Lepisosteus oculatus: one gene and its partners. The main gene of each other region encodes a partner of the protein of the gene in region 3 in a complex. Links are inferred from orthologs where the notes say so. Each region holds a gene or a part of one and is shown on either strand. Other genes may lie near its edges.

Region 1 (7,257 bases), on a different chromosome or scaffold from region 3:
TTCATACAATATACTGTATGTAAGGATGGATGGGTGTAATTAATGTTTTTTGTTTGAGGATCAGATTTTTTTTTCCATTACCAGAGTGGCAGGTAAAGTCATTTTCTGCGTCATTGAAAAGGTTATCCACGTTGTGTTGTCAAAAATAGAACATGTAATAAAAATATATGCAGGAGGAAATGTTCTGAATTCCATTACAGTTAAAAACAAAAGAAAAGTAAAAAACAATTATACTTCATGTAGATCTGTACTTTTAGAAACAGGAGAATGTGGGCTCCCAACCACTCAGCAGTGGTTTGCATTAAACGTTTAATGCCCATACATCACCACTTTGAGCCTGGGTAATATCACTAGTCAATGGAGTGGGATTTCCTTAGATCAGGTGTACATCTGGCAGTTTTGCTTGAGTAGGGTAAATTGCCCAGTCCTTCCTGACTTCTTTATAAGCAGCTTGACTTGCCAGGTGGCTGCAGACTTGCATTGATATCAATGAGAGATGTGCGAGTAGTTTGGTTAGAACTAGAATTCCCAGCCCTGGCTCTCAACAAACTCATATCTGCTGAGCTTAATTACCCAATTGAAGCCTTGATTGAATGAGAGAATTGCTTGATTGGACTATATACTGTACTGTACTTGTATAAGTTATTTTTCTACACAAGTGTTTTGGATTTTAGAATTAGATGGCAGCCACCATCATGCGTAAGAGCAGAAAAACAGTCAACCATTTCAGATTGAGTGTTCCGTTGTGTTTATCCTATTAGTAGGTGTTTAGTTATGTATCTGAGAGCTGGGCTGGAGCACAAGCCAGCAGGTGTGTGAGCCCCCAGGACCAGGACTAGGAACCTGTGTTTTAAGGCATTGTGAAACTTGCTTCCTGTCAAAAGATGAATAGGACTGACAGGTTGGCAGACTGGAGCAGAAGGTCTGCTGGAAAGCCATGTGAATGGCTAAAAAAAGTAAAAAAGAAAATGGAGACTGACTGGTGCTAAAATTATCAAAGAATTGTATTTGTTTTAGTTGAACAATATCTTAGAGTACAAAGGAACAAGTAATAGGTTTATTCCATGCTGAAAAAAAGAAGAAAGAGAACACAACGTTTCGGCCGTGGAGCCTTCTTCAGGTGTCCACGGCTCCACGGCCGAAACGTTGTGTTCTCTTTCTTCTTTTTTTCAGCATGGAATAAACCTATTACTTGTTCCTTTGCAGCCTACGCATGCTGACGCAGCTACCCACCTGAATATCTTAGAGTATACAGTATCTTGTGTTGCAGTGCATGTTAGTTAAGGATAAATAAAGGGATTTTGTCTTCTTGTTTGCCTTAATTGTCCTCCACTCATTAGTTCTGTGTGTCCCTTTCATCAGCCTCCATATTTGTATCATTGTTTATGGAAAAGTTTTTTTTCTTCTCAAAGTTGTGAAGGTTTAGAAGCAACATTGGAAGTTTTCTGCAGGTTTTCCCTGATATAATTGCTACAAACAGAAAGTATGAACACCCATGATCTCATTTATTCCTCCTGTTGTATAAGGATTTTGAATGAAATACTGTACAAAATAACTGTTTAAAACTAATGAATAATCGGAATTATCAGAATATTAATTTAGTACTTTACTTACTATATTTAGTACTTGATTACTTAATAATATACAGAAAAATGGGACAAGCCTTATCTTTATATATTCATATACTGTAGAATGAAAAATATTCCTAAAAAGACTTATTTTTCAAGTAATAAATGATATTTTGTTTATCTTGCCTGAGGTACTGTAGATGTCAGTTTATTTTTGCATTTTTAGTGAGAAGAGGCAAATAACATCAACATGGCGTCTGCTTTCAGATTTCACTAGGTATTTCAGGAATGTGTGTGCACAAACTGTCAAACTGTTTCCCTTTGTTGTAAAAATAGACAGCTTTATGACTTTGAAGACAGGAGGCCCAACTCTGATCAGCACGCAGTTCAGTTAGACGGTATTCACACTGAGGATTGACAATAAACCTAACTGGCTGAGGTAACTGACTGTGCTGAAACACTGCCATGGTAAATAAACAACTCAGAATTAAATCTCTCCTAGCTAGTAATCGGTCTGTTTTGTTCGATACATAAAGCCGTGCCTCCTTTTTATTTTATTTTTTTGGCTGTTCAGATAACATTAATCCAGGTTTGAAAATACAAGCATTATTAAATGAATGTATCATCTCTTTTTCCCCAAAGGACAGTGTGGGTGTCTCTGTGGCCCTTCTGCTGTTCCTGCTGGTTGGCAGCAATGTTTGCTCTGATGTATCCCCGTTGGCAAAGGAGACGTTTATTCGTTTATTATTTATTTTACGTATCTGAAGAAATGGCATGCCCACGCACCCTGGCAAAGAGTGCATAGCTAATTCCCTGGCTGTCTTGAGGCTAGAGTCGAACCTGCAACCTTCGGGAACTCTGGGAAGATCCTGAAACCCAGAGAGAAGCCTTTGTTTGTGTTACATGCTATTTCCTCCCACTCTCCTTGGTCCCATCATGCATTGAAGAAACGCAGAGGAGGCAGCCCATCTCCTGCAGTCTCACATTGTGGCAAAGACCTTTTCATGTCCCATTCTTGCTCTGGGGCTGTAGAAGGATCTGTTGCTTTGTACTGCTAGATCTGGAGGTGGTAAGAGCACTGTAAGGCAGCCAAGGCATGGATAAGCAGGATTTGTACGCTGGAAAAAAGCAAGAAACTTGTTCTTGTATCCTATAAATAGGAAGCTTTTTTATAAGGGGTATTAACATAAGTATATAAGTATTAAAGAGTGGGATGCTACACTTTGGAAACTGTACATTTTTGATGTTGCCGCCTTTATGTTAGAGCTTAACTAAATCTTCAGCTTTTTCTGCACCCCACATCGAATTAAAGCCCCTCTCCCTTCTTCTCTCACATTTATACGACCCAATGAGAGGTGTACAGAATGCTGCTGTTGCTTTTGATCCTATGCTTCACACGGATTCCATTATTATGATGTGCCCAGATGAATTGGCATGGTTCCTATTTGGATGTCATTCTTACATTTTACAGGCAGAATAATTGAATCAGTGAAGGTATGAATTTTAATCTTAAAATGTTTTTTTTTATTAGTCTACAGAAACTGAATCCATTTCAACCGCTGTGGCCAACCTTTTTGCATCAGCTTTGCATTATACTGTAGGTACAACTGATAATGGAGAAGTACAGTACAGCTCATTCAGTAGTAAATTCTGAGCCCACATCCCTTGGTGATTAGTATATAGTCTAACCATTTAGCTCACAAATGGTACTCTAGAACAGAAATTACTTCTGTAAATTCTTATTAAATTAGACCTTATTTACTCTTTTCATCTTGGCAGGATATTAATACAGTAGATGTGGTAGGTTAGACTGGAGCTACCGAAGTAATAAACCCTTGGCACTGCAAACAATTATAAAATGACATATTGCATTGCAAATATTTGACGTTGCTCTTTAAATCTTGGGTAAAGTTGATGTAATTAAGCACTTGTGCTCTTCTGCATTTCATTCCTCACATTCCTACTTGTCAGACTTTCATTAAAGCAGGTGAATAAAATTGCCGACTTTTTAGTTACATTTCTTGAAACTTCGGGCTCTACATTTATTCACACATTGTGTATAAACTGATGAAGCTACAGTATATGCCTGAACAGCTGTATTAAAATAAAAAAACTACTGTTGCTAGAATAGAAATCATCTGAACTTTGCTTTGACGTACTTTCCAGATTTTCTGGATACATTACAGTGACAGGCTTGTTGTGGTTGCTGCTAAAATCCTGAAGTTATTCTCTTCTGTTTCATTTAGATTTCATGGTCTATTATCATGTTGTAAAGCACCTGGACATTTATTAAACTAAAGTCATCTAGGAATAATACTTCTTAATGAGAAATGTTATATGTGGTGTAATATATATATATATTAATGATCATTAATTCTCATTTAATTTATGCTATTCATCAATTTATAGTGCAAACATAGAATGCTATTTCATCTTTAATATCTGTATATTTGACAGAGGGGAAAAGAATGTCACATTTCTTTTCTGGTCACTAGTCACCTTAAAATTCTGTGTCTTTTTTTAAACAAAAAAATGTACACAGTTGCAAGACGTTTTATTCAAATGTTTAATTGTTGGTTATATTAAACATTCTGTTGTTTTTATTTACTTTCAAGAAGTTTGTTTCCTTAACCTGTCTGCACTCCTTTTGAATACATGATCCTGGCTACCATCATAGCAAACTGCATTGTTCTGGCTCTGGAGCAGCACCTTCCCGGAGATGACAAGACACCCATGTCAAAGAGACTGGTGAGTAATTCTGTACTACAATAATCATATTTACAATATGTGCAAGCAGAATTCAAAGGTCTTTCAATATTCTTTGTTGAATGGCACAAATGTTTCCTATGCAGTTAAATTCAAATTCTAATTGGCAGTGTGAATTTTCAATGTGAACATTTTATTAAAAATCTAAATAACAGTCTCCCCCCACTCAAAACCCCTATATCCACCCCTATTAACCTCAGTGGTACCTCCCTCCAATTTTCTGATAAATGGGAACTGCAGTATGGTCCAACAGCTCCAATGGAGGCCCCAAACAATGTCTGTGGCAACACTCCGGAAATCTACCATCTCCTTAAAGCAGAGTGGTTAATAAACATTTTTACACTCGCTCTTCAAATTAGATTTAACAAATGCGTAGGGTTTCATTTTAATGAGTTGGCCTATTGTAAATGTAGTCAGAAACCATTTACATTGTGTACACATACACATACAAAACAGTATGTATAGGACCATTTAGAATGCACTTGTATTAAGATAAAGAAGGGACGCTAAGCATGAATGCATTAAATTTTAACTCAAGGATCTATTCTGTCTTCTCACCGAATACTGTTCCAAGCCATGAGTACACTGTCCCTTCCAGGTGGACATCATAATTTTGCCTTGCTCAACCCATCAAACTTGAGTTTCACATTGTAAGAGCTTGCACAGGTTGAGTCAGGGTTGTGCCTATAAATCAGATTAACTATACCTGATGGACTGTATCACTCTGTAAACATCCAGGACAACATTTAATAACTTCAGTCCTGGAAGGCAGTAATCCAGCTGTATTTATAGGCATCTTTACATCTCTAGAATTGAACAAACCTGGTCAATTAGTACAAGTTAGACAATAAATATATCCATTAGTTAACTGAGAGCTCAGGTAGAATAAAAACCTGCTTCTAGGACAGGCCCTCAATTAGGAAGTGAGGTTGCAGTGGATTACACCTTTGTGTTGAAGGTGTAGTGAATATATATATTCCTCAAGGGATATGTACTCTGAGCTCTCTTTCTCATTTATTTTGATGTTTTTACCATAACTGTTGTGCTCTCAGCACAGCTGTGAAGAGCACTTGAAAGAAAAGAACAGCTCCATGAGAAAATGGAGGCTATTAGATTGCTGCTTCAGCTGACCTTGCTTGTTACTTGCTGTGTTGTTTTATGTGGGAGTGTGTGTGGGTGGGGCACATATTACTATTAATGTGGGGACAAGATGTGAGAAATTGTTTCCATAAAGAGAGAAATTCCTGACAAACAGATGATGTGGGGACACCTCCACAATATAAAGGACTCTTCATTAACCAAATGCTGTCTTCTTTTAAAGCTAGAACTGCCAGATACAGTATATACTGTAGTTTTGGGATTCCATTACAGTGGATTATAAAACAGTAAATGAAAACAGAATGAGTGTTAATAAAATAAAAACAAATAGACATATATCAGAAGAAGAATGAAAAATGGACATTATTCCAATGAGATTAGAATACAAAACTACATAATCATTAAAATACTTTCTTATTTTATGTAAAGAGAAGAGGAAGAAGCAAGTGGCTACCCTAAGGAAATGTCCCATAATAATCCTTATCACTGGCCCTACCTGCTTTTTTATCAGCTACTGTCCTTTAGAACATAGTTTGGTTAATGCAGTTTTAAATGTTTTTGAAATACTAATATCCTCTTTCAATATCTGCTACCAATAGCTTTACTACTCCAAGATCCAGGAAAAGCAACATCTGACACTTTCAGAGAGTGGATGCCATTGAAGAACATCTATAATGGCATGCAATATAGCTTTTCAGGACAACACAACCATGATACAAACTGTGCTGTTAATATCACTTTGGGTGAATTTAGAAAGCATCAAATGCTGACTTCCTCAACACCTGTAGCCATACTGTATGATCAAATCCTATGTCACAGGCTCCACAAGAATTGGGCCTTGTCAATATATGGATGAGAGGCCTGTGAGGACATTCATGGGGTTCAGACATTGAAGCCACCAGAACTACATCTGTCAGCCTGTATTTTGTTTAACAATGTTTATATAATGTATAGAAACAAAAGTACTGTATCTAGAGGTCTTGAGGAAGTCCAATCTCATGGCTACAGTACGTCCGTTGCAGGAGCAGCAGAAAAGTATCCTTGGAACACGTAAGAGTTAATTCCATGCTCAAAGATAGAGAAAAGAAGCAAATTATTCTTCACCTGAACAGCTGAAATGTTATGTTTCTGGTGTTCAATGTGGAATTGAACGTTATTTCTTCCTTTGCCGCCAATGCACTCTGATGTAGCTCGCCACTTCAGTCTCTTCAAATAAGCATCCTTGACTTCTTTTGCTGTTTATTGTTGCATAGAAAGGTATGATTAAATAATCAGTAAGAAAAGGAAATCCTGTTTACAAATTGAATGAAAACGAATGTCTCATGGTCTGCGTTTTCTCCGGATTTCCATCATTAATGCTTGTTTCCAGTCACATTTTTTTTCTGGTACATATAAGTCACACGTATTCTGATTCCCATGGGTATTCACTAGGTCATCTTGCAATAGAAGAATGAAATTGGTTTCATTTAGTGTGTAATTGGTTTGACTGGGGGTTCTTATGAAAGTATAGTGTTTAAGGTCAATTTGCCATGATACTTACAGTAGACGTGTACAGATTTGCAGATTTGATTAGGAAGGCTGTACCATACTCTGATAATATTCTGAACTGCTACAGTGCATTTGCATGTGTCCCATATGCATTTTAATTGTAGGCCCTCCTGAATGATACAGCAGAATAAATACAAATGAAATGAGTCAAATGTCAATGTCTATATCAAATAGTTTCCAATTCTTCCAAGTAACGTTTTTCCACTATTTGTTCTGCAGGGTAAATAAAAGGCCTTATTTGATCTATAAATTTTACATCACCTTATCCACTGTAAAC
Region 2 (7,261 bases), about 40 Mb from region 3:
GTAATACGTGTGGGTAGCTGCGTCAGCATGCATAGGCTGCAAAGGAACAAGTAATAGGTTTATTCCATGCTGAAAAAAAGAAGAAAGCAAACACAACATTGTTTGCAATGGTCATGGCCGTCGGGGCCGTCTTCAGAGAACACATCAGGGCTGTGAAGATTAAAGATCTCTCCAAGTCTGTTGTTTCTTATTTCACCTCTGACGGCCACGACCACTCTAATCTCTCCGTCTGTGTTCTCAAAGATGGTTTTCCAAACTCATACATCAGAAAGACTACCGAAACCAAAATTATCCTGCAGCTAGGGTCAGACCTTCCCCCTTCTCTTAACGACATACTACTTTTCTTCTAAATTTTCTTCATTCATTAGAGGTTTCATTTCACACCTCTCTACACCTATTCTGACTTCACACCTCTTAATTGGCCTCTCTTTCTGTCCCCTGCTCCCACCTCTCGCTCCTCCTCTCTCCCAGCCTTTGTTCTCCTGCTACATTACCGTTGCCTACTGCCTTGTCTTTCTCACACCTGAAGAAGGCTCCACGGCCGAAACGTTGTGTTTTCTTTCTTCTTTTCTTCAGCATGGAATAAACCTATTACTTGTTCCTTTATAGTAATACACTTTGAATACATGTTGAAATCTGCTCAAAACTGTTACCATGGAAGGATAGAAATATGCACCCAGATACAAATTTTCTAGTGCTGCAAGATGTGTTTCTGTAGCAGGTTGATAAAATTACTGACGGGGTCCACCGGCTGTCAAATCACATTTCAGAAATGCTGTAAATACCGTCAAGGTTATATATTTAATATGGGAAAAGTCTGTGACAAGCAGGTTATTTTAAACTTTTTTTATGGGGTTTTAGTGTCCCTGCTGAGAACACCAGCGATTTGACATGGCATTTTATCTCCCTTATCCACCACCAAAGCCATTTATGTAGCTGCAGCACACCAGGAGTGTAACCTGTGAGGTGAAAAGGAGCCGGATGAACGGTTACAGAGGTGTTCTGCATGGTGATGATTGCAGCCCTTTATAATCAACACCTGCTTTCACAGCAGACAAGACTGAAGACTATTCTCTTAAGTGCGGAAATTAAGTAGAAGGATGTACAAAATTAAAGATGAGTCAGAAGGAACCACGCCCCGATCTGAAACGGAAAAGCACAAGAAAACTGGAAATGACCAGCACTGTACCCAGTACCCACTATACCCATGCAAAACCAAGTAGAATATCCATAAAATGTTACAAGGAATTTTGAAACGTCTCTGAAAAACAGCTAATGGCTAAAGGCACATAACATGATTTTACAGATCATAAAACTGGTTGGAAGAATTGGTTTGTGGCTTAATAAGGAGGACGATAATGAATGAAGAATATGTCAGAAGGAGATGGTGATAAATTTTAAAAAATAGGAATGTTTCCCTTTTGTAAGTTTTCAAGAGGAATTGAGCAAAACGTTTAAGTCTCATTTTCTTTTCAAAGCATAAAGCACTCAAATACATATAAAAATAGGGAGATTGGTGATAATCATAGTAGCTTGAGACCAGTTTGCTCATAAAGGACTTTCGTCTCCTTTTATGGTGCAAAGGTATTTTGGTGGGCAGTGAGCTTGCGTGTCTGGGCTTCTCTCTTGAGTGTCCTGCCAACACCAGAAACCAAGCCAACCGAGATAAGATAAAGACAGTTCTCAAATACACATGAAGCCCCTTCACATGCAGTGCCCACTGTAAGTCTTGATTCACTATGATGAACTTAAATGGCTGTGGTGTATTGCAGTAAGTGGCAGCCTCATTATTAATTGATAGATCTCATAATTCAAGTAACTGTATTTTATTTGCTCCTATTTAGAGGGCTGGGGCTGTTTAAGTTGACACATAGAGGCATTTTCAGTTTTATCACAGAGTCTAAATATGGTAGAAAGTGCAAGTAATTTCTACTGGGGCACTTGCCAGCGATTTGCTTTTTTTCACCTCGAAATCACGAGTCATACTGAATGACAAGCTACCCTTTACGTTTTCTTCATGTTTTGAGATTGTCTTTCTTAATTAACTGGGATATTTTAACTGAGATTCTGACATCCCTAAAATAACCATTCATTCAGAACTTCAGAGGCAACACCTGTAAGGGTTTTTTAAAAAAGCCTTTTTTTAGACCTTTGTAATCAGATGGTTTTATACTCGGTAACCTAGAGTGGCCTAGCAAAGGAATATTTTTGTGGCAGAGTGTCTTTGTAATTGAACCGCTAAACATAATTTCATGCTGATTTCAGTGACATAAGACTTAATAGAAAGACTTAACAATCCCTTTGAAAAGTGATAAAAAGACATTCTTCATAGAATAACTTATTGTAAGTTAGAATAAAACATCTAATCTGTTCTCAAATACTGTGTTGTGCAAAATGTAATTGTACTTTGTAAAAGGAGTAAAAAAGCCACAAATCACATTCTAGAACATTAGAGAATATAGTTTCAAGAATAGTCTGTAATTAGCAATGATCTTACCTCCAGGGCGGACATAGGTATAGTTGAGTTGCGTCTCGGACACAAGTTTTCCTTTGTATTTGGCATCTGGCTCTGGTGGCAAGCGCTGGTGCCTGGGCTTTCTATGCAGGGTGAATGCCTTCTGAAACATGATCTATCACCACTGTGGTGTATAATGAAGAACACAAATCAAAATCCTTAGAATCCTTTGTGCCCTCTCACCTGGTTTTCTGTATTCATGTGTCATATAAAAAACTCCGTGCCAGTTTCAGTCAGAGAAACAATTTCATGTAATCCTTAAGCGTGACCAAGCCGGTGTTCAGGAGCAGAATCCCACACAACTGAGGTTCACGAAGCTGGCGACGTTACACGGCACTGTACCTCTTCAGAGGTCCGCTGGCAGTATCGGTCTGCCTTTGTCAGGATATTTCTTAAGTTATCTGCCGCCTCAGCCCCTCTACTTGCCCGCTTTGTTTTTCTCTTTTATCTTCCACATTTTTTGGCTGCCCTGTCTCTCTCACTTCTGTTTGCAAGATTTATCTGAGGAGGTGTGGGGAAATGTTCACTGTCTGCTTGTCACCGACGCTCTTGACCCAAGCCCGATCAGCTTCGCCTTTCCTCTCAGCAGCATGGCTTTCCAAAATTCCAGCCCCGGCTACGACCCCGCCCTCTCCATCCCTGCCTAAGAGTTCCAGCTGATAAGCCCCTTGGGGCAGCTCTGTCACCTGAACATTTTCCAAATACTGTACATTTTGTTCTTCTCTGTCTTTAATATTACCATTAAATTGAATTTGTTGAAAATAACATCAAGATCTGTCCTGTCCCCTGAGCTGTTATAACCAGAATCTGTCTGTTATTTTTTGTTTCCAGTGTCCATTTATGGGATCTGGTTTTATGACAAGGAGGACTGTCAGCGGATTGCTGAGCTAATGAAGAAGTACGTTCATTTCAAATGTATTGTTTGTCTGCATCTAGTTATTACACCGGTTTGTAGCTCTACATTGTATTGTGTCATCTTTCAGCCAGTCCATATCCATAAATATTTGAATTGCTGTCACAGTACTTCTTGTTTATGCACAGCTATAGAAGTATTGTGGTGTGATCCATCCAAAGATTATGTCATCCTGTTACTGTGTCTCATTCCACACTCTCCCACTTAATCTTTCTTCTTTTCAAATGCTCGCTCAAAATCTGGATCAGTGGTTAGGAGGTGATGGTGTTCTGTATTATACATGCCTTGGCAACAGTGGATCAGAAATCCATTTACATGCCTTGCACAAAATGTTATGCTTGTCAAAGTCTCAGCATGGGGGAACATTCCTGACGTTCATTTTTGTGTCAGAATATTAATTTAGAGCCTACCTGTTATGGAAGAATGATGATTCAGCACTCATGGGATCTAGCTAAATACTTGCAAGGCACAATAAGGTTTTGCAATTGTTTATTTGCTCTCCTTTCCCTATCCTCTGTACTTTAAAGCCACACAATACAGTGTCTTTGGTTTGGTCTTGTTGCTACACTGTGAAAGATGAGATAACCTTAATCTTATCAGTTACAGCCTCCTAAAATATAGGTGTTATTTTTAGTTTTTCCAGGAAACACCTGTGGGCATTTGTTATCTTTTGCTGTCGTCTTAATCAGATCATTTAAGCATTCCCCTCTGTAGATTATAGGACATTAATAGAAGCCACGGAGAATGTGTAAATTTGAACTTAAATGTCTTTGATTGAAATAAGTGGATCATTTTTTAAGAAATACAATGTATATCTATATACACTTTTCAAATGTGCACTTGTCACTGTCTGGACCATTAAAAAAAATTAGGCCATTACAATTTTTTGCAATATTAAATCTTAAAATAAAGCCTGTTAACCTCAAGGGAAAATCAAGAGCAGAACAAAAAAAATACTATCCCAAACTGCAAATCATAATGTGCTGCATCATTGTGGGATAACTTTATACTCTACAACATGACACAGAAAAAATCTGGGCCACTGAATTTGCCTTCCACCAGTACAAGGAGACTGGGGTTCTCAATTAAATCAGTTTGGTAGATTACTGAACTCCCAACAACACACCTACTATTCAGTAGGTTGCCAAAATTGGGCAGGCTGTGAAGATTGAAGATCTCTCCAAGCCCATCATTTCTCATTTCACCTCTGACGGCCATGATCACACTGATCTCTCCGTCTGCGTTCTCAAAGTAGGGTTTGTTAACTCGACAGCAGAAGGAAATCAGAAACTAAAATTATCCTGAAACTTGGTTCACACCTTCCCCCTTCTCTCAACGATAGACTTGTTTCCTTCTTATTCTCTCTATTCATGTGTAGGTTTCATTTCACACCTCTCCTCCCCTCTCGCGACCTCGCACCACTTGATTGGCCACTTTGCCTCTCCCCTGCTCCCGCCTCCTCCTCTCTCCTGGGTTTTGTTTTCCAACACTATATGTTCTTTGCTGACTGCCCTATCTTTCTCACACCTGAAGAAGGCTCCACAGCCGAAACATTGTGTTTTCTTTCTTCTTTTTTCAGCATGGAATAAACCTATTACTTGTTCCTTTGCAGCCTATGCACGCATGCTGATGCAGCTACCCACCTGAACTGATATTATTATTCATCTTCATGTCTCATTTAATCATTATAGTACACATTTATAAGGTGTATGTCTACCCTTTAGATAAAATTACCTATACAGTGTTTAACAATCAATTATGTTTTAGTGTTTCCTCAGACACTGTAAGTGCTTCTCCTTCTTGTTCTGTGTGAGGCAGTGGCTCAGGAGGCTAAATTGAGAGTATTATTTCTGAAATTGGCTCTGTGGTATAGAGACAGTTTCAAGCAAATGATAATTATATGGCAATCAAGTGCGTTCTGCACTGCAGGGCGGTATAGTTTGATTTTGTAAAATGCACTCTTACAAATGTGCAGCAACAGTGTACATTTAGCCTCAGGACTTTGCAGCTCTGTGCAGTATGTTTATACTAGATGGATTATGCTCTGGTGACTTTCCTCCTCCTCCAGTTTAACGCAGCAAGAACAACTGAAAGCTCAGCATGGGGGAGGCGTGTCTCCCAAAGCTCTGCACTCAGGGGACAGTAAAGGGGTCGACATCCTCCAGATGCTGAACAAGGCCAGGGATGAGTATGACAAGGTAGGTTTAATTACTAGTATACCACTAGGTGGCACTAGTGTCAACTGATACCCTCAGCTCCAAGAACAGTGTATCTCAGCTGATAAGGAGTAAATTACATTCCTGTAAGTATTTAGTATTGTTTTATTTTTAACATAAACATAAAATTCTAAAAATAACTTCATTTCTCTGTAATTGTACTGAGAGGATTCTAAGGCATATGAAAAAAAAAGATTTTAAAGTATTAAAATTAACTTTTGTACCAAAAGTCAAGAAGTGTTTGGAGTAGGGCTAGTGTTGAGGAACCAATTTACAAAAAATAGCAGAGATTTGCTTCCCATTAAAGTAGGTTATAAGCTTCTCATTGGAGCCCCATGTAGTTTTATAAAGGTTGTTGAGAACAACAAGGAAGAAGCACCATGTAAAAAAAAAACTTGTGAAGTTGTCTTTTGTCTCATTCTTATGAAAAAGACCCAAGTGTTTATGTTAACAACTCATTTACATCTTCTAGACAATGTGAAGAAGCAATTAAAAAACTAACAAATAATAGGATATATAAAGCATAGAAGTTAAAGCAAGGGATGTTATGTGAAGATTGTATGATGCACTAGCAATGCCTCATTTATACAGTTGTGTACAATTTGGGTCATCGAAAAGACATTGCTTCTGTGGGATCAGTCCAGAGAATCTACATCCTGGGGCTTCAGGAAATATCCTACACTAAAAGGCTTCAAAAGAAAAAAATATTCAAAATAAATGGCACTGACAGTCGACACAGCAGATTTCTTCACTAAACAGTGAAACATGAAGTGGAGGACTCTAAGTGTAAACTAGATGGAAGTGCATTTTAAAACAAGAACAGGAGACACTTCTGTACCCAAAGAGTTGTGGGAGTCTGGAACAAGTTACTTAGCCATGTTGTTGAAGCTGATACCCTAACTTTTCTGAAGTTAGGCTGGATGAAATCCTTGGACAGTTAACTACTAACCTCCAAATAGGTTAGATGGGCCAGATGTCCTCCTCTTGTTCGTTAGTAATGTACATTTTCACTGTGAGTGTTAAGGGACTGAGGCTCACTACCTTGACATTGCAAGAGCCAAACCAATAAAAAAGAAAATGCATTCCTGAACCTTTTCTTAGCTTGGCCAAAGCCATAGGTTCTTATCCTGTGAAAATGCTGATAGGATACCTGCTTCCTTATTGAGCATTAACTGTCTGGGATTAATAAGGCATAGCAGCAGTTTACAAGATATTTTCTGCTTCATCATATTTTGTAATCTTCTTTGTTCTCTTCTTTCTTTTTTGCGAAGGTCCTCTTCTCCTTTGTTCTTCTTTCCTCTTAATGCTTGGTGTTATTTTTAATGACATTTCAGGAATATTTGCTTTTGAAAAGACATTATATAAGATAATTTCTTGTATTAGGAATTTGTCTTTTCGTATACCCCAACTTGCTCTCCATGAGACACACAGACAGGGAGAGAAGATTGGGGCCAGAGCACAGGGTTTGCGATTTATGCGACGCCCCTGGAGTAGTTGGGGTTAAGGGCCTTGATCAGGGGCCCAACGGAGTAGGATTCCTCTGCCAGCTGCAGGATATGAACCGGCAACCTTCCAGCCACAGGCGCTGATCCTTAGCCACAGAGCCACCGCACCGTC
Region 3 (7,879 bases):
TACATTTAGAAATTTCAGACAGTGAGCTAAATATTGCATTAAACATTTGTTTTTAAACTGCAGTTGTTCACAAATGCTACCTTGCGTGTGTACCCTTATCATCATTACATAGCTCTCAGAAACTGCACAAATTGAGTTTGGTCAGTACTGGGATAGTAACCTCTGGTGGATGAAGAGGGTCCCCTACTATACATAATGCGTTATAGGATCCTTAGGAATGAAGATGTATTAAAACAATAAAAAATGGGAAGATGTTTAAAGTCACATTCAGATAATGCACCTTAAAATATTTGAGTCCTCTATTATTGAAACCACCAAGGAAAAAATATCGTTTATACTGTATATAATAAAATATTTGTATATAGAACGATGATTTTGACAGTTTTTACAATTAATAAATGTGAACATGCTTTTCAGGCTAATTAAATGAATTACATAGGTTGCTGACACTCTTATTGAAAATACCACAATGATTTTCTGTCAATCAAAAATATGGGAACACATATTTACACAAAAGATTAATTAATTCATTTTTTGAAATACTAGAGATATCTGATACACAGCAATTAGAAGCCAAAGTGAAATAATTAGAAATGGTTCTCTTGTTGGGAGAAGAATGTTTGAAGTAACGCTTTTTGCAATCGCCTAAAAACATGTCAGAGCAAGCAAAATAAAAAAATAGAAAGAAATTCACAACCACAGCATATGAAGGTATAATAGTAATAATAAGATGGAGCACTATTGGAAACCACAAAATTAAAGTAAGCATATAGTTACATTTCATTAATTTGCTTTAAAGCTTTTTTAAGCCAGGGTTTTGTAATTCCTAAGAAACCCCATGTAATGATGCTTAATCCTGTTAATTCTAGTTTGTTGTTTGGCTTTTTGTTCACAGATTAGTGACTGACATTAGTAAAAGCCACGTGTTATGTCTGTATTTCCACAGGATCAGAATGAGTCTCTACAGATATTAAATCCACACCCCGATCTCAAGACTGAGAGTTCTCCTACAGTGCTAGTCTTGAAAATGAAATGTCATATTTGGACAGCACAAAGCACATGAAAAACAAACCAAAAAGGCTTTTAAACATCTCCATGGTATATGTAGAATGGGATTTTTCTGGTAAGTGTGCATATACTGTTTCATCTTATTAACAATTGAGTATTTGTCTATTCATTGTTTATTAGGGACCATTGTATATAATCATCTCAAATGAGAGATGATTTACAATTCCCCTGATTGTAAAAAGGATTTTGCAATTCATTGACTAATTCCCTTCAGATATAATTAATTTCCAAACCATGAATTAAAAAGGAATGAATTTGACCAATATTAAGGTGATTAAATTGCAGCCAATGGTTCTGGTGAAGATCTTTTGTAGATATATGAAACAATTTCTGTATCTTGATTTTTATACTTCACAAGATTCTGGATTTCTGCTTTGATTTGAATTCAGTAACTATGCCTCTGTGGCCCTGTATGATTTTTCATTTTCAACCTATTCCTAAATGAAGAGCAATACTCCGATTTTGTTTTTTGTTTGTTAAAACATGTGTGCATATTATAATAGTGTTGTAAGAGTCCCAAAGCACAATTATTTTGCTTTTTCAGATGAAACATCCAACACCCTTTTCAGGCGTGTGATGTTATACTATTTATGCTCTAAAGAGGGTCATGCTTAGTTTATTTACTTACAGCCAATGGGTTCCATAGGATCAAATATAATCTGTGGTTAGGACATTCACTATGGGTCCTCTTCTATTTTAGTGAACAAACTCCTGCCATTGATTAACTGTGATATAATTAAGCTTGGAACACTGCAAGAAGAATGTGCAATGCCTCCAAAATAGTGTTTGCATCTTAAGTGAGAAGGTGGTATTTTTTTTCAAATTTGCCACACGAGCAACACAAATTAGACATGAACCCTATCGCATGTACACATGAAAGCTTTAATACCTGTCACCTTGAAGGTAAAAACACACAAATAACTATGATAATACTGAAGCAGCAGTGATTTATATTTCTAGAGTGAAATACATGCTATTAAACTATTATTTTTTATGAAACTTTAATTCAAGGTTTTCATTAATTAGGTTAGGGGTACTGTATCTAACTCTATATTGTTTCTCATAAGAAATGCAATGCTTAGATCTAATGGAGTTCAGCAATTGTTATACATATTGTGGAAATTAAATCACAGAAAATAATATATAAAAATACAGATCAAAGAGTTAATGAAACATGGCTTACTGTCAACATTTAAAAAAAGTTCTGGTCTCCCCAAGAGTACATACTATCCTGCTGGTGCCGGAGCACAGTCTTGGTCAGTCTCTTCTGTCATGCTCTGCCACTCCTCTTGTGCAACTACAACCTGAAGAGCTACAAGCATTTGTCTCCTGTTCCTGGCATTAATGAGTTGGTCTCACTGATGCCCTATTGGACTAAGGTCAGGAGAAAGTGCTGACTATAACAGGGCCTCAGCACTGTTTTCTTGAAGCTGTATCATTGCTTTGATGGAAAACTGACACTTTCAGATGGGTCTGAAGGAATAGGAAAATCACTGCCTAAGAGACTTTGTCAATGTATCGACGAGCAATAAAGTTATCAGATTTGGTGCCCTCAATCTGCACCAAAAGCAGATTCCTCACCCATCAACAGAGTTCAAACCATGTCACTGTTTGACACTGGCACAATACTTGCCATAATGCTCTCTATGGTATCTCCCAACACTTTGTCTTCCATCAGGTCTGCCAAAGGCGAAACAGCATTCATCAATGGATAGAACACTTCACCACTCTCTCTGCTGCCAGCTCAGATGTTCTCTGGCCAACAGAAGACAGCACTCACACCTCTCAGCTGTCGACGTGTTATTCTTTAAAAGCCTGCATGTAGAAGATTTATTTTTCTGCAGACAGCAAGCTACAGTAATTCTGCTGGTGCACAGGTTATTTCGTCCTGCAATTTAGTGTGTTATAGAAATGGCGATTTGAAAACAATTATGTATTGGGACCTGACAGATGGTTCTGGTTCTGGGTTAAGAGTTGACATGGAACTGTAGCTCTCAGCCCTTCAGGACATGGGCTCCTCATGGATTTGGTTTCCTGATTTCTTAGAACTAGACAGCAGGTTGCTGAAGTAACACATCTCATTCTCTGGACATCTCTTACTGACAGGCTGTCTTTAATTATGTCAGACATAACCACATGGTCTTAATTATTCAAAGGCTACATTGTCATATAATGAAAAATAAGAAATGATTCTTCCTTGCATCTACTGTACAGTAAACTGTATGTGTCTCATGGCAGTGATTCAGAACCTGCAGCCCTCAAAAGGAGATCAAGAAAGGAAGAGAGATATTGTGTCACCTGATAAATTAAAGGGGAACTTGGTTATAAATCTGCTTATAAATGGTTAACTCCCCTACTTCTGTGAACAGTGCCGTGTAAAAACCTGGAACATTTATTGGTTTATCATCAGATGAGCAGATTAAACACAGTGTCCCTGGTCACTACAATGGGGAATTGAACTAGAAGTCTTCTGACCTACTGGTCCACAAACACTACTGCAGCAGCCTAGTTTCCCTGAGAGGTTTCCCCTTCCCAGTACTCACCAGGCCCAACCCCGATGAGCTTCTTAGATCTGAAAAGATTAGAATACAAGGCGATAGTGCTGCCTGCATCAATTTAAATAATGTCTTTATGAATGGCTAGACAGACTCTTTCAAAAACTCATCATGGCCACTACAATTTGACTTAAACGGCAGACATGGTGTTTTTATGCAATCCCACGGCTTGCACTCTATGTTTTGTCATCCCAAGGTAAAATAGTGCAGCAATTCCCCCCTAGTGTTCCCATACAGAGTGGGTCCTGTATGAAGAGAGGCAGGATATGGGAACTGCAGCTCACTGACTTTATTACCCTTTTGTAGGTGCACTGTGTGCTAGTCACCCAGAGTGTAGCATCCTCATCAGGCAGTGATGGGGCACTGAGCAGATAAGCAGTGGTGCTGGTGATGTCAGCCCCAGGAGAGCATGCTGGGACAGACAGGAAGTTGTTTGGGATAGTTTGGAACTATCAAGGACAGTGTTAACTCCTCAGACTCACAGAGGAGTACAGAGGTTTGTGTGCATTTTATGTGAGTGTAAGTGTGTGGCTGTCCCATGTTTCCCCACCTGTGTATGTGGTTTCAGGTTCCCATCCTGACGTACCTGACCTTTATTAGTCAGGACCCCCACCTTCCCTACCTGGTGGGGATGATGGGGAGTCAGAAAGTGGTCAGAGTTCAGAGGATCATTACAGAGGTGGTATATTCCAATACTAACCAAACTATCAAGAAACACATTGCTCACAATTTAAGATGAGAAGCCCAATTTACAATATGTCCCCAGTAAATTACTGATGTAAAAGTCATCTGTTACATTTTCATTGGTTATCAGTATATAAGAGACACATAACAGGCATAAATGTATATGAGCTAATTGTTTAAATGGCAACTCTTCAAAGAATAAAAACTGAAAACAGAACAGGTTTTTTAAGAGTCATTCAGAAGATCAGTTTTAAGAAACAAATACAGAATCAGCTTCCTTTCTCACCCTAACCTGTTGTCGTCCTTGTCTTATACTGCAGATATGTAATGTCTTGCTCCTTTAAGTTTGCCAATAGGTTTATATTAGGAGGCTTGGTTGTGTATCTGATCAAAGGCGGTGGTAAAGGAGATCAGCTGCTGAGTTGGTGAGTTCCTCTCTTCCTTGTATGGAAGGCAGTACATGATCATCATCAACAGAGGAGGGGGGTTGCGGAGGGGGGGGCGGAGGGGTTTACTGTGTGCAACTGATCTAGTGGGGTCTGACACTGGTCTCTCATTGCAGAGGAGGAGATAAAGACCGTTCTACCCCACTTGCAAAATACAATTTCACTGCATCTATTTAAGGAAAACAAACTAACACAGCTGAAACTGAAACGAGAGAGAGAGAGAAAACAGCCGCGATCTGTTAGAAAGTAGCGCTGATGGCGGCTGATCAGATTAGCTAGTGGAGTAACAGACTGTTATCTGGCTAAGTGTCACTACAAGCTGCTGTGGACTTACAGTGCGTTTCTCTCATTAATCACATTCTGGATCGGTGCATTTTTTCCCCCCTCGCGTGCTGGAAATTGCGTTTAAACGATGGATTCTTACAGGATATCCGTCCTTTTTTTGGTACTCTTCTCCCTGTTAAACAATCTTTCTTCAACGGAGCCGTTTCCTTCTCAGATATTGTAAGTAACAGGAGTTGGGGTCATTTCTAGCTAGGCTACATGAGGTTTTCAGCTGTTTGCCAAATGCTTGGCAGTCCCGTGCGCTGAAGCTGCCGTTTTTAAAAACAGCTGCCGTTTTTAAAATAAAATCAAACTTGTGACAAATTGACATCCTCCCATCTGTTTTGTACAACAATGATTTGACTTGTCTTTAGTGTTAATACAGTACTAGGAAACATGTAGCGGTCTAATCTGTAAACAGCGATTATGCATTACTCTTTCATTGTAGTTTTCTTTGCTCAAGGTAAGACGTTAAATTAGCAGTCAGACATATCCTATTTGAAACTGGGTTTAGGATTTAATTTGCCAGACAATGGGTAGGCGACAGTTACTGAAAATTTTTGCGTTGACGAAATACAGTACGGTGAGAGCTTCATCTGTGCAGGGCAGGGGGTGGCAACTTTCACTATGATATGCTTTGTTCATCATAGATACTCTTAAGACTTTATCCGCTGTACCGGTTCATTACGTATATTCAAATATACAGTAGCTTTCTTAAAAAAAAAGATTTAAAACTGTTGCTCAGCTCAGTTGTTACTGTACTAGCAGCGAAGGTGACCCTTTTTAGATTACGGCGATGTCTGTTGTATATAAGTACATTTAAGTACATTTTCCTCAATTCGGGTCATGCTCTTACGTTATTATCAATTTACTGTATACTGCATTTCATAAAACCACATGGCAACTAATTATCAGTGTTGAAAGCTAGTGGCCGTGTCGCTTGATAAAGCTTTTTTCATGTCAACTTGTTGCGAGCCGAAAGGTACTGTATCTGCTTATAAAAGTGCAATTCACAGCGATGGACAGTTTGTATGCAGCTCTGTAGAAATATACAGAATTACATTTTTCAGTTCATTCAATGTAGGTACCAAATCGTACACGTTATCTTGCACAGCTTGCATTGTTACTGTGATGAGCAAGATATTTGAACTGCAATCAACTATTGAAGTTACAAAATTCCTATTGAAATGAATGTTTTATAAAAGTATTAGTTGGGATATTAGGAAAGTATATGAAAAAGCCGAAATGACAGCGTCTGATCTTTAAACATGTAAAAACCACCCTATGAGACATAGTTTTTTAGAACTTGTTGAAAATCGGCAGTTCTAAATTAATAGTCTGCAAATTCGAAGAACTCTACAAAAGTATTTTCTGTTTGATATTTTTAATATATATTATTTTTTTTATATTACACACTTGTTTTATATGGCGGTAAGGGAGGTTCCTTGGGGATCAACAAAATAACATTCAATAAAAAATATTTTAACATTTAAAGTTAAACATTTTTTCCTTTTTTATAAATAAAATAAACCAATTGATTTGTTTACATGTATGTTTATTCCACATAGACTACTGAATGATTTATTTTAAACTCCAGTTTTTATTCAATACGTTACGAACATTCGTAGAATTACAGTTGTTTGAACTAGTGTTTCGGTGATGGCATTGATTTTTATTTTTTTTTGCACGCTCTTTTATAGCTTCAGTTTGAAAATGAACTGCAATTATGTGTATCAACACTCAATCGTGTTTAGAATATTTTGATTGGAGAGCTTAGGAAAATAAACCAGCAAAGTGCGAGGTGGTTACTGTTTTCCCAGAATACAAATTGCACGTGGTAATACTGTAGAACCCTTTTCTTAAAATAAACCATAGAGAGATTTCCTAACTTAAACTGAGTGCTTCATATTCATACTCAGAAAGGGAATATGTTGTAGACAGAATGTTTCATAATTAAACATTGTGCCCGTACTTATACATAGTGGTTAGGTCGATAATGAACTGAAAACTGAATATCAGGTTGCCATGTTGCTGTGTATTTTATATATATATACTGTATTTTTTCTTAAATTGTTTTCACAACGCGCATGAAAACAACGAAACCTTATATGGAGAAAGTCTCAAAGATATTTATATACTTGTTAGTTTTTTGTTGTTGTTGTTGTTGGGCAGGGCATTGTGACTGGCAGTAGGAGCAGACAGTGATTCATCACCTTGTGCCACCTAGCCTTTGCCATTAATACGGTCTACATTTATAACAAATGCATGAATCTGACATGGTGTATATGGAAGTCCGAATTAGAAGGCAGTGCTAATCCTTATGACTCTTGTTTTTGCCAGTGGTGCAGATGCATTTTTAGTTTCTTGTCAGCAGAGGAAAGGAGTGGGTATCACTTTTGTTATCTGTATTCTGGGTACCTTTGTTGAACTGTTTTTGACTGCACCACAACCATGAAAGTGTCAGAAAATGTGAACAAAAGTTCTTTTGGAGACAAGATAAAAAGACCCTGGGGCAAGTATGGATAGTGGATGATATAAAAGATGACAGGGTTCCTTTATACAGTATGTGTTAGGGCTCATTTAAATTGTACAAAAGCAACACAAGCTCTTTTCTCTACAAACAGGAGCATTAAAATGCTTTTCCTTATTATATTTGCGGCATGCTTTATACGGTACATATGCAAGTTGCTGTCTGGCTTGTTGCTTGTTCAACTGCACTTTCTTACTGTAATTTGCTGTGTGATCAACCTCTCATTTCACACACTGTAATGGGAACTGCCCTGATTACAGTATAAAAAATAT

What was found.
Region 1: the proteins of voltage-dependent calcium channel subunit alpha-2/delta-1 (region 3) and voltage-dependent R-type calcium channel subunit alpha-1E are in contact, whole or in part, in a cryo-EM structure (PDB 8EPM), measured with the Homo sapiens proteins. The link is inferred for Lepisosteus oculatus from reciprocal best matches to the Homo sapiens genes CACNA2D1 and CACNA1E. Residues at the interface, in NP_001353796.1 of Homo sapiens: Thr170, Asp171, Tyr173, Ile233, Leu235, Ser261, Gly262, Ser263, Ser265, Gly266, Leu267, Lys270, Ala327, Lys328, Gly329, Ile330, Thr331, Glu366, Gln391, Asn393, Tyr394, Ile416, Gly417; in NP_001192222.1 of Homo sapiens: Gln110, Leu112, Pro113, Glu114, Asp115, Asp116, Lys117, Pro119, Arg122, Asn630, Phe631, Asn632, Asp633, Gly634, Ile1330, Gly1331, Asn1332, Val1334, His1336, Met1341, Val1343, Arg1346, Arg1393, Ser1394.
Region 2: the proteins of voltage-dependent calcium channel subunit alpha-2/delta-1 (region 3) and cacna1c are in contact, whole or in part, in a cryo-EM structure (PDB 8WEA), measured with the Homo sapiens proteins. The link is inferred for Lepisosteus oculatus from reciprocal best matches to the Homo sapiens genes CACNA2D1 and CACNA1C. Residues at the interface, in NP_001353796.1 of Homo sapiens: Thr170, Asp171, Tyr173, Ile233, Leu235, Gly262, Ser263, Ser265, Lys270, Thr274, Ala327, Lys328, Gly329, Ile330, Glu366, Gln391, His392, Tyr394, Ile416, Gly417; in NP_955630.3 of Homo sapiens: Phe147, Pro148, Glu149, Asp150, Asp151, Ser152, Asn153, Ala154, Asn678, Lys1090, Gly1091, Asn1092, Tyr1093, Ile1094, Tyr1096, Gly1099, Val1101, Pro1104, Ile1106, Arg1109, Tyr1156.

What each region holds. Positions count from the first base shown.
Region 1 is NC_090704.1:28,655,949-28,663,205, forward strand, and holds the start of voltage-dependent R-type calcium channel subunit alpha-1E, read left to right. Parts: upstream 1-4,215; 5' UTR 4,216-4,223; coding exon 4,224-4,316; intron 4,317-7,257. UniProt on the Homo sapiens protein: Voltage-sensitive calcium channels (VSCC) mediate the entry of calcium ions into excitable cells.
Region 2 is NC_090702.1:7,865,953-7,873,213, reverse strand, and holds the start of cacna1c (voltage-dependent L-type calcium channel subunit alpha-1C), read right to left. Parts: upstream 3,052-7,261; 5' UTR 2,628-3,051; coding exon 2,498-2,627; intron 1-2,497. Other genes in the region: dcp1b (mRNA-decapping enzyme 1B), read left to right, coding at 3,347-3,413, 5,497-5,626. UniProt on the Homo sapiens protein: Pore-forming, alpha-1C subunit of the voltage-gated calcium channel that gives rise to L-type calcium currents. Mediates influx of calcium ions into the cytoplasm, and thereby triggers calcium release from the sarcoplasm.
Region 3 is NC_090702.1:47,618,543-47,626,421, reverse strand, and holds the start of voltage-dependent calcium channel subunit alpha-2/delta-1, read left to right. Parts: upstream 1-4,822; 5' UTR 4,823-5,165; coding exon 5,166-5,257; intron 5,258-7,879. UniProt on the Homo sapiens protein: The alpha-2/delta subunit of voltage-dependent calcium channels regulates calcium current density and activation/inactivation kinetics of the calcium channel. Plays an important role in excitation-contraction coupling.